3 linked regions of the Arabidopsis thaliana genome follow. The protein of the gene in region 3 interacts with the protein of the main gene of each other region in a pairwise test. Each region holds a gene or a part of one and is shown on either strand. Other genes may lie near its edges.

Region 1 (4,342 bases), on a different chromosome or scaffold from region 3:
AAATAAAAAGGTGAACAAAGTTTCTCCAGATCCAAGTTTTTCCAGATGTGATTTGATCTAAAGGTGTTGGCCTTTTGTAGCAAAAACTTGCAAAAACAGAGGGTTCTCTCTGTTTCGATGCTTTTTCCTTCAAATGGAAAACAAACCATTAATAGTACTCTTCTTATTCAAAAATAATTCGTTAAGCGGACCAAGGTATCGCTAAGGCCCAAACAAAAAACAAGAAATGGGCCTTAAGTTTGGTTCAATCTATATCGTGTAAATGACATTATCGTCCTTAAACAAAAGAACCACAGTAAAGAGTCGAGAAGGGTATATTAGAGAAAGAAGGACTTGTGACATCTCAATTCTTGAACAAGAAACTTGAAACTTGAAAGAAGAATGAGATAGTGTTAAGTGGCAGAGTTCCAAGTATCTTAGTATTATTCTCCTCCTATGCCAATGCTTTTCTTATGATCACATAGAGAGTAATAACATTCTTTTTACATGAACTCGCAGGTTTTAAACAGCCCTGATGTGTGAACCATTCATAATGATTTCTCCCAAAATCTATAGCTCTAGTATACATTATTATTGTAAGACTGTGTTGATCGTCTTTTGCACTTCATGTTTCAGACAAACAAACAAAATCAAGAAGTGTATAGAAAGCATCAACATCGATTATGTTCCGAGAAAACCAATAAGATTCATAAAACCAAGTACTCTACTCATATAAAAACTCTCAAGTAAAAATAGATAATGTCTTGGAGTTAACGCATAAAGCCTTATCAAGAGATCATCCTCTTATAACATGGACCTTGATTTCTCGAACAAGACCATCCATCTCCTTTTCTAACTCACAAATCACCTTGTCATTCAACTTCACATTATTCCTTCTGATTATACTACGGAATCCCTTGATTGTTTGACCCTTAACTTTCCTCTTCAATTTACCAAAGTTTTTCTCGAGTGGATCAATCAAATTGATGAACTCAGGGAAGTGTAAGCCATACTTCGTTATGACCTTAGTTGGTATGCGCAGCTGCATTACAAAGATAACATCATAAAACAGAAGTGGTACATTATTTTAATGAAAATGCAAAAAGACATGAGACTTTCTTCACATTTCTTACCATATTATATTTTATTTGCCGATGCTGGTTCACTGTAAAGAAAGGGTTCATGTGATTATCCAGATATTGTCTGTCATGCTCTCCAGAAGAACCTATCAAAATTTATACGCAAGAAAATAAAAAGACAGTGATGCTCTCAGTCTCAGTTAACTTCACAAGACAAAAGTTTCTATTATACCTTTCTTTTTTTTCTCTGTTTTGACTCCTCTCCATCTTTCTTTCTCAACATCAGCATGATCATCGTCACCATAATCTTGATCATCATCATCATCATCATCATCAATAACTATGATATCTTCACTAGATGTATCTTCCTCAACATAATCTTGAACATCATTAATATCATCATTATCAGCATCATCAAGAGCTGTAATATCTTCACTAGATGTATCTTCCTCATTATAATCTTGAACATCACTAATATCATCATCATCAAGAACTATGAAATTTTCACTAGATTTAACTTCTTCCCCATAATCTTGATCATCATTAAAACCATCATCATTGTCATCAAGAACCGTGATTTGCACTGAACTTCTAAGCCTTTTACACGTTGCACGACCATAGATACAGAAATTGAAACACCAAGAGCCATCAAACTCAAATTCTAAGAACTCTCCACCTTTCAAATCTTCGTCCTTGACTATCTTCTTCCACCCATTAACCATAACAAATCTCTCACTATCACCACAAAACTTCCTAAACGCCACTTTCCAGATGTTTCCATAAATGCTTCTAACAATTACATTTTTAGGCAACGACTTTGGTAAAAAGCTGTTGAAAGAGATGGGTAATTCCTGAAGAGGAAGGATCTAAAAGTTTCAATAAACTAAAAATCTACATATAACCAAAAACAGAGAGAGAAGTGTATTTTTACCAAATCATCTCCGGAATCATCAGGTAAGTACACTTTGAAGAACTTTGGAAGACAATCATCCACAGAAATTCCTGTTCCAAAGCAAGAAAAAAATCAGAACATAGGATAGGTTATGTGATTGGAGAATCAAGAACAAACAATAGCATAAAGATCTTAACATAAAAACAAGAGTCTAAAGAAGAAACCTCTGTTCATCATCTTCACCTCTTTGAAACCCTAACTCTTTTAGTGAAAGTGAAGGTGAAAATGGTTCTTGAAAATAGAAAAGTAAAAGAGCTTTGTTAATAGATCTCCGATCTTTTGGTTTGCTTTAGAGATTTTGCCTTTTGTAGCATAACACAGAGACTGTATTGTCTTCTAGGCTTATTGCTACAAATGGAAAAATAAAACATGTGCTAACTACTTTTACTTCAATGCTCCATGAACCGAACCGATATGATTTTAATCAAACCGAAAAAATATTATCCTAACCAAACCAAACCAATAAAGGGTGAACGAGAATTTAAAATTCAAATAAATGGGCTTTAAAGTCCGGCCCAATCGATTTGCTTTAAATGACAATAATAACCTGAGATTATAGAGAACGTTGGTCCGATCTTCTTTCAATTTCAAGTTTTTCAACCTCTTCCCGCTTACGAGGCCGGGATATTCTATCAACAGTCGTCTCTTCCATCGGCCGAACAATTTCCGATTTACCGACTAGGATTTTCGCCTACAACTTCCGAAGAGATTTTCTCAGTGTAAGTTTGAAAAAACCTAGCTATAGGATTCCGGATTTCCTAATCGTCAGATCTTGGGCTCGAAAGAGAAGCTAGAAATGGATAAGGATCTCTTAGATATCTCTGGAGAAGACGACGAAGATAATTGGCTTCTGAAGAATACGCCGAAGAAAACTAATTCGAGCCGAGGAAAGAGTTATTTGAAATGCTCACCTCTCCAAATCCCTAGATCTAGTCGTATCGTTCCTACTCGGCCTCCTTTTTCCCCAATTGGTAAGCGCTTCAATTTCTCGTTCTCGATCCGAGCTTCGTTCTGATAATTTCTCTCTCCCTTTGTTAGAGTGTTTAAGCATCTGAATTAGCATTGTTTAAATCTTAATTTGATAAAATAGCAAATTAGTATAAATGTTGTGTATTCTGCGGATATATGAAGGTTAATACTTTTTGCAGGAAGAGTAACAGGCACCAGCAACAACAGGGAGCAGCCATGCGCTTCAGTTGATACAGATAGTGTAGGAAAGGAGAATGCTAAAGTTGAATTGCCCAAATTGAGTGTGGAGCGACAACAGATGAAGAAGAAGAAAAAGAATGCAGGGTTTAATTTGCGCAAGAGTTTAGCATGGGATAGAGCTTTTTCAACGGAAGAAGGTGACTTTTTTTTACCAATTTCCTGTTAGTAGTAAAGGTCAAAGATTTGGTCTATGTTACTAAGAATCTTAAGATGTGTGATATGGTCATGAACCAGGTGTTTTGGATTCATCTGAGTTATCTAAAATAACTGGAACTGCTTGCCATCTTGGTGGAGATCGGTTAGCTGCCATTCAGGAAGAGTACAGAGAGTCAATGTCAGCTTCCAAATGTAATGTTTCACCAGGACTACAAGCACTTGAAGAAAACTTATTTAACGACTTGCCTGTGAATAGTAAAAACAGAGAGAAGAAGCTTGTCAGTGGCATAATGCCCAAGTACGGATCACCATCTAAATCCCAATCTTCCTCGGTGAGTTTACTGGACCTAAATATTGTGGAGCTAATGAGGGTCATAAGTCGTTTCTTTCCTTGCGTAAATATATATATTTTGAGGCGCAGTCTATCTAAATGTCGAATATCTGCATTATAGGCCCAGAAAAAAGTTATCTCAGCTCAGGATTTAAGGAGTGGTTCCAAGCGCAGTGGCTGTCCCCGGCCTCCTCCTTCATCTTCATATCCTTTTCTTACTTTGAGTACTGAGTGTATAGGCAATCTTGATATCCTTTGCAGGTCTTGTTTGTGTTCTTTTTGCTTGTTTACCTTAACCATCTTGCACCCTGAAAAGACCTGCAAATGTGCATACAACAACATCACGTTGCAGGGAGCTGAGCATATCTAAAGTTCCTACTACCAAATCTGACCCAGTTACAGTTGGAAACAACATGAAAAGGACTACTCAAAGTCCAATCAAAGCGAAAAACAGTCAACCTACTCAATTAAGTATGTTCACTTCAGTTAGCAAATAAAAACTATTCATCTCATATCCTTTTTAGTTCTGTTACTTTTCATCCTGTTTATATATTGCTACATGGTTTTTTGTCTGATATGACAGAGAATTCTCAGAGGAGCTTAGGATCTGAAAGCTTCTCTAAAAACACTTCAAGC
Region 2 (3,896 bases), on a different chromosome or scaffold from region 3:
ACTTCACACAATTATACCTTTCTCAAATAAAGGGCACAATTTTTTCTTTTCTTTTCTTTTAAGCTACCTTAATTATGTTATGAATTAGATATTCAAAAATTACAATACAAAGCAGTGTCTAAATTTTTAAAAATAATTAGATTATTATTATCTCGATTTTGTTTTTGGTGGGCTATTATCTTAAAGGACAACATCTAGTTTAAGAGTAATCAATAGTTTTCCTTACCAAAAAAAACGTAATCAATAGTTTTATATGTTTTGTATAATTATAATTTAAATATTTTTTGTCATCAATATGGGGCTTAAATTTGGATGATGACGCATAGACGTCGTTAACACATAAACTACAAATGTTTAGAGATTTGAGATTTTAATTAAAAATGTTTATGATCATTAAGCTCCTTTTTCTCAAGTTATTTATTATAAAACTACGTAACTTTACCTTTTCCGCCATAGTTGAACTTTCAAAACCTCATTAGAAAATGATTATAACAGTGAATTAATCTAGTACTTATATTATTTTAATTGCTGTTGTTGTTATAGTGGCATCCAATGTTTGTTGGATAATTATTTCATCAACAAGGCAATATTAATATACGTAGACTCTTTGATTACTTGTCATTGATTATTAATTACTCGTACAAGCTAAACTACTCAATTTTGGAGAAACAAATGAATTCAATTTTTTGAAAACGCAGCCTCTAATTAATACACTAACTACATCACATCAAGAGTTAGAGTGTGTTTTTTTCTCGGTAAACAAAAGCTTTTGAATTTCTTAGCCTTAACTAATTTGCACCATTTCACTTTACTCCTCAAACATGTTAACTAGAGCCCGGCTAAGAGATCTTGTTCCCCGCCGGTTCTAGCCAATACATCGAACCAGAAGTCCATCTCACTGTCAAAAATCATCTCATTATTAGCGGAGCCCAAGTTTTGAAACTCTTGTTGTATCTCAACTAAACCAGCCACTTCTAGGTCATTCGATACGTAGTTGTGTTCATCTTGGCTATACAGTGTCTCTTTCCAGAAGCTTTCATCGATATCCGCACCAAAAGTTTCGAAAGAAACACATTCTTGATCGATAGTACTGATATCTCCCGGTTTGTTATCCATATTAATCTCGTTGCTATAGCCGTCGTGGCTTATGAGTGTCATCGAAGAAACCTCACTTGTCGAAGGCGATGTCGAAAATAAGCTTTCTCCAGAAGGGTTTGATGAATCTGCTAGCTCCGATTCGCTTCTAGTACTGTTCGAGCTCGTTATTACGGATTCAGATTTTGGTTTAGTACCCTTCTTTTTGTTGCTGGTCTTAGGTTTAGCTGGTTGATAATCTTCGAGTCTCTTCTTCAAGTGAGTGTGCCATACGTTCTTGATCTCGTTATCGGTTCTTCCAGGCAGTTTTGCTGCAATCGCTGACCATCTAAAGATGATACCAAAAGGAAAACGAAGAACATCAATACAAAAGTAATTAAAGAGCCGATCATTGTGTAGTTAAAAGAATAGTAGTGCGACCTAGACGTGTGTATAAAGTTACTTTCTTTTGGTGATTTATATATAGTAAGAAAACAAAATAAAACTTGTGTGTCGGTTATATACTTATATGTGAAGTAAAATACCTATTGCCAAGTATTTGGTGTAAGCTGATGATAGCATCTTCCTCTTCTTTGGTGAAATTGCCACGTTTAATATCAGGCTTTAAATAGTTCATCCACCTAAGTCTACAGCTTTTTCCACATCTCAAAAGACCTGTAAATAATAATTACCAATAATTAATGTAAGAAATTTGATCAAAATTAAGAAATTTGATATTATAATTTTTACATACCAGCTTGCTTAGGGAGGGCTCGCCAGTTACTATGTCCATGGTTGAGGATAAAAGAGACCAAGATTTGATCTTCTTCAGGTGTCCATGGTCCTCTCTTCAACCCCATCTTCTCACAGCATGGAGCTCTTCCCATCTCTTTGATTTGTGATTGCTGATAAAAGAAGTTGAAATGTTTTTCTTGTGGTGATGATCAAGATATAATGTGGAGATCAAATTCCTATGAGCTTGAGATCAAATGCTGTTGATGAACATGAGAATGACTGACTAAGGGGTTTGAGTATTTATACTAAAATTGTCAAAAGACATGTGGGAGAATTCAAAAGCATTGGTGAGCTTCTTGGAAAATAGGATGTGAGAGAGAGAGAGAGAGATGTCTTTTTGATTATTGGCAACATAGTCAAAAGTATGTTTTACATAATATTATATCTCATGTGGGAATGAATGATATATATGTTTTAGGGACCGGAGAAAATATTATTATAATAATCGGTCTGCATGTATATATAAATGTGTGTATACAGTGTGATGTTGAAATATGTGGTGTAGTGTGTGATATAGTTTCGAGTAAACAAAGTCGTCGGGTAGACGCACGAAGGGCATTAAAATGAGCCCACACGTATATTTCTTAGAAAATAAACGTTTTAGAGATTGTAAACGACAAACAAAAATCAACGTTGGGTGGATTATGTGTTGACCCAAAAAATCACTATTCATATATCTGCTCGAAAAATTGTTTTACTTTTCTTAGTATTAAACTTAGACATCTTTAGTCTCGGTAGTAATCGTGTTTAGGTTAACAACATCCGTACGTTTTGTATTCTTTCTATTTCTAATTAAGTGTAATTTAAAGATTTTTTATTTTTTTTACTATAAGTGTTGTTTTCACTTTTCTATGCAAAATTAAATGTGTTTAATAGTTTTTAACCAATTATATTTTATATCATATTTTTTTATTGGTTGGATTAATTGTAATTAATAATATTTTTATAAGAAAGAGATAAATTAAATGAGATTTGTATGTTTTCTTAATTTGTGTGCAAAAATTTTAAACTACAAATATTCAAAAATAGAGGGAATAATATTTACTGCATTTACGTTTATTATGACGCCATTTTCAGTCTTTATTTTTAGACTGCTGAATGCCTTAAAACAATTTATTGGTCATAATTAATTGTTAACGTATCGAATAGAAAAAAAACTAACTTTTTCATAAATTATATAAATGATTTTGAGATTCATATAAAATAAATATGTGCTACATAGTTCAGTCAAAAATAATTTACTTCCATTTTATCAAACAATTCGATTAATATGTGTATTTGATACAATACTATAACTACCAAATATGTAACATATTCTAAAGTTTTTTTTTGATAAATAAATTATTCTAAAATTTCCTCACCATTTTATTTTACTTCAAAATCTGGTTATTACAAATTTGCAACTACTGTTTGGGCTTTGAGAAAACAATCCTCTACGAAAAATTACCAGTTTTATACTAGTATATATGCTTTAATATTATTATTACACCAGCCACAAAATCCAAAAATAGAACACGAAAAAATCAATATCTGTCCGCGGGAAAGAGAACAGCTCGTGATAGTATTTGTTGACCAACGCGTTCACACGTATCGCACCCTTTTAAGTTTCAACCTAAAACTTTACCCTTCTTCTGTATTTTGTTAGTATTTGTTAAAATAGAACTCTATTGTTCAAAGTTTCTGGTCAACAAAAGACTGAAAAGAGGCTTACCTACAGGTTTTAGTTTTACCATATAAATTTACACTAACAATTAAACCATCATTATATTTTATTAGAAAACAATAAATAATGTTTAATGAAGAATGATAATGATTAAATGATCATTTATTAAAAAATCTTTTTTGCGTTACTAGTGTTAAATAATTAAAGTACTGTAACATGAAGCATACTGACATATAAAATTTATGTACCCAGTTTATTGGGTCAGAAAGACAAATTATCAATTGCATCATGTTTGGGTTTAGTTAAGGTTTTGCTAGCCTAATAAATATAATATTTATATGTATTTCGTTGTAAACATAATCCA
Region 3 (3,581 bases):
ACTTTTTATTATCTGTATACGTTTTTGGTCAAACCTTTCCTATTGCCTATTGGATGCTGAGATGGACTTCTCTGGATATTCCAAATTATTCCTTCTTTTGATTTGGTTATGTTAAACAAAAAAACGTTTTCTTAGTAATAAATGGATATGGATCAGATTAGGTTCTTAGGAGGATTAGATATGAATGGATGACTCATTGACTTGTAACAATATTAAGCATGCAGAGCATATACTGTATATGTCTTTATTTTATACTATATAAATGCATGTCTTTCTGTATTTGGAGGGTGTTGAATTAATTATGGAAATCACGTCATCCTAATCAGCCACCGGTTCAGTCACTCTTACGTGTAAAAGATAACGTCGTAGACTTTCAACAACTCCGTATGAATGAAAATGTAAGAAAAAAGATCGAGGTTGTCGCCGGAGTTGAGCTCTCTTGTCTTCACAAGGCCTTCGATATCCTACTCATTTTTCGTTTATGCGGATTATGAATTGAAAAGTATGAAAGATAAAATGGCAAATTCACCATCGTAATTACACCACTATATCTTAAAACTGGATGGTTCACAATATCTTCGTATCATGGTAAGACGAGAATCCAGACGTAACATATCGGAGCTCTAGTGATCAGGATTTCACCGAAAAAAGTAGTTCGTGGTTCTTTCTTTATTTCGAATATAATCGTATTCAAAGTTACATTTACCTTTTCTCTTTTGTTTCATTTCCGATTCAAGGCTGACTTGGAAATTATAACAAAGAGTGAAGAAAGAGAGAAGCTAATATTAAAAGGGAAGTACAGCATCGTTTCTTCTTGTGATTCTCAGCCGCTCCACGCTTTCTATGAACTCACTGTCATTTACAAATCACAACACATGTAAACGCTTTATTTCAGTAATCTACAAAGAAAGTATCAAGAGCTTACTTCCATGGAACATCCCCAGCATTTCTCCACAGACCTTCTTCGTCTCTGTAGACCAAACAGAACTCAGACTCCATCTGGAACAACCTCAATCCCGACACACTCTGCATCCCTACAGATTGTAATGAACATCCGGTATAAGCCTACTAGGAACATTACTACTTATAGTACTTACTCATCTTTGAATCCCAAGCTTCCCATGAAAAACTTACCAAACATGTCCTCGAGTTGATGAGCAAGAGTTGAATAGCTTCCATGATCAAGAACACAGACCTTGCGACCTACCACCAAACCATCCATGGTGACCTTTACATAACCCCACTTCCGTCTGTATCCTTCATTACTACAATATCCTTTGCCACATGTCATAACTCATAAGTAAACACCGTCTCAGAGTTGAAAAAATTTACCAAGAAATTAAAGGTAATGGAAATACTAATGGAAACGGCAAAGAAACTCACTTTGGCCAGATGAGTGGTAAATCTCATGTTGTATGGTTCTCAGGCTGAGACCTAAATCGATTACGCCACCAAACTCCGTGGTCTGCGAGTAATATGGATGATACTTGGGAGAATTTGGGAAAACACCGAGTGGGTCTGAGTCCATTGTTGGTTTCTATAACAAATACATATTCAGCACATAACAGATACATAGAAAGGTGAGAATGATGTTGATTTATATCAAGCAGCTAAGGCTAAGAGTGTCAGGAGAGTTAAGAGACATCATTGCAGACAGGGAACAAACAAAAGACAAGAACACATTACCTTCCAGGAAAGGATCAGTTTGTGGTCTTTTTGTTGTTTGTCTGATGCCACTAAGTGCAAGGGATGGGGAGGATCGCTGCAATACATCTGGTCAGCCAACACAAAAACCTGAAATTATCGTGAAGTCAGAATTGTACTATACTAATCACAGCAAGCACATCTCTATCTAGTGAAGTGTCTCAATGTTATCAGAGAGTGTTGACAACTCATTGTCTCAAGTCAAAACCTGTAATCACTCAACATCAAACACGTTACAAAAGAAATAGGTAAGTCGTGCTAGAGAATTCTGTACCATAGAGAATCCAACGAATTAATTTATGGACAAAGAAAGAGAAGAACTAGGTATGGTCTTACATGATGGTGGAGAGACAATATCTTTCATGAAAGAGAGCTCTGTTGTTTAATACTAGACAATTCAGATCTATCATTACATCATGTATCCCACACATTATCTGAGAAGTAGGGCTGTGTCATTAATGGATCTAAGACAGAAAATGTACACATAAATCCATGTCTATACAATTGCTCTCATGGATAACTCAAGTCCTCCAAAAGAAGCAAAGCAGTACAAGAGAACACACCAGTTCTTCTAAAGATAAATGTTCAAATAAAAAGCTCGTTGCCATAACAAAACAAGGGAAATCATCACAGTAGACAAGAGCTTCCAGCATCTCATTCGATGCTTTTCCTAATTTACAGGTGTATGACTTGAAAAAACTGCATCCTAAGCTCATGTACAGTTTGCCCAGATACTAAATGTACGTGTCTTAAACGGAAATGGCATCCTTTTTAACAGGCGCTTCTGAAACACACTTCTTCGACACCACCTTAGTGCGACGTCTACAATCTACATGTGCTATAGCATGCAAGGAACAGAAACTCCCGAAATGTTTCACTTATGCGGAATCATGGTGGCTAAGAAATTCAGTTATGCAAGGATAGACTTGCTCCACTGCCTGCAGTAAGTTGTCAGAGAAACGATTAACAAACGAAACAAGCATGCACATGATACAGCATTGAACAAAGTTCCAACATAGGAGGAGACCTAGAAATGACTGGGGAACAAACATACCAGTCGTCCTCCAACCAAATCATAGTGTGCATAATGTGGTCCATCTGGTTCTCCAAGTAACTTATAAGTGACCAAGTTCTCCGGAAACAGCTTAACAGTGTCTGCCATATTCACAAGCATTTGTAATTAGTCATAATGGTGAAAATGCATGTGTGAGTAGCTTAAAAATTTATTTGGTGTGTGTGGAAAGTATCACAAAAGTTAATCCATCTACGCCTTATACAGCCTCTCATAACTCGAAAGAATTCAGTAACAGCAATGTAGAATTTAAAATGAAATGCATATCTGGGTAAATGAATGGTTTCATGTATATGCTAGAGTCATCTATGCAGAATTTCATAATAAACATTATGTTAGTATACCTTCCACAGCCGCAGGGGGGCAGATCAAGTCCCGATCACCTGCAAGAGCTAAGACAGGGACACTGGTTCTGGGAAGATGATCCTTATAGTAAAATTTACCACTACGATCACGTAAGCCTCCCTCTCGAAAGGCCGTTGTCAGCTGAATAAGTAGTTTTGCAGGTATGGTACCTAGATGTAAGAAAACAAAGAAACTCTTGAAAATCACCATAAAGGGAGCAATTACGGATTGCAAAAAAAGTCATGGTACATTCAAGCATCTAATAGTAACTGTTCCAGCATTTTCTTTTTCTTAATGAAGATACGTTTCTTTTCCACTTAAAATACATTAAGAACTCACATACTTAAATGGGATCAACTGTTTTTACTTACAGAAGTTATTCAAGACAAGCTTTTCTAACATTTCAGGGTGCATCATATCTGTTGATGATATCAAATCATTAAGCCAAGATAATACATAT

Evidence for each region. Proteins that work in one complex are often made in the same cells at the same time.
Region 1: the proteins of IAA34 (region 3) and AT5G60142 interact in binary tests that used the Arabidopsis thaliana proteins (3 or more experiments, as listed by UniProt).
Region 2: the proteins of IAA34 (region 3) and MYB15 interact in binary tests that used the Arabidopsis thaliana proteins (3 or more experiments, as listed by UniProt).

What each region holds. Positions count from the first base shown.
Region 1 is NC_003076.8:24,215,405-24,219,746, forward strand, and holds AT5G60142 (AP2/B3-like transcriptional factor family protein), read right to left. Parts: upstream 2,346-4,342; 5' UTR 2,188-2,345; coding exon 2,175-2,187; intron 2,061-2,174; coding exon 1,990-2,060; intron 1,949-1,989; exon of another isoform or gene 1,910-1,948; coding exon 1,291-1,909; coding exon of another isoform or gene 1,265-1,290; exon of another isoform or gene 1,205-1,264; coding exon 1,113-1,204; intron 1,022-1,112; coding exon 776-1,021; 3' UTR 543-775; downstream 1-542. Other genes in the region: AT5G60150 (uncharacterized protein), read left to right, coding at 2,807-2,981, 3,159-3,356, 3,454-3,707, 3,828-3,910, 4,014-4,177, 4,290-4,342.
Region 2 is NC_003074.8:8,307,557-8,311,452, reverse strand, and holds MYB15 (myb domain protein 15), read right to left. Parts: upstream 2,245-3,896; 5' UTR 1,962-2,244; coding exon 1,829-1,961; exon of another isoform or gene 1,750-1,828; coding exon 1,620-1,749; intron 1,424-1,619; coding exon 829-1,423; 3' UTR 543-828; downstream 1-542. UniProt on the Arabidopsis thaliana protein: Transcription factor involved in cold-regulation of CBF genes and in the development of freezing tolerance. May be part of a complex network of transcription factors controlling the expression of CBF genes and other genes in response to cold stress.
Region 3 is NC_003070.9:5,181,471-5,185,051, forward strand, and holds IAA34 (indole-3-acetic acid inducible 34), read right to left. Parts: upstream 1,944-3,581; 5' UTR 1,774-1,943; coding exon 1,687-1,773; intron 1,560-1,686; exon of another isoform or gene 1,538-1,559; coding exon 1,384-1,537; intron 1,276-1,383; coding exon 1,135-1,275; intron 1,035-1,134; coding exon 926-1,034; intron 853-925; coding exon 786-852; 3' UTR 521-785; downstream 1-520. Other genes in the region: AT1G15060 (alpha/beta hydrolase family protein), read right to left, coding at 2,583-2,642, 2,759-2,859, 3,121-3,291, 3,493-3,581. UniProt on the Arabidopsis thaliana protein: Aux/IAA proteins are short-lived transcriptional factors that function as repressors of early auxin response genes at low auxin concentrations.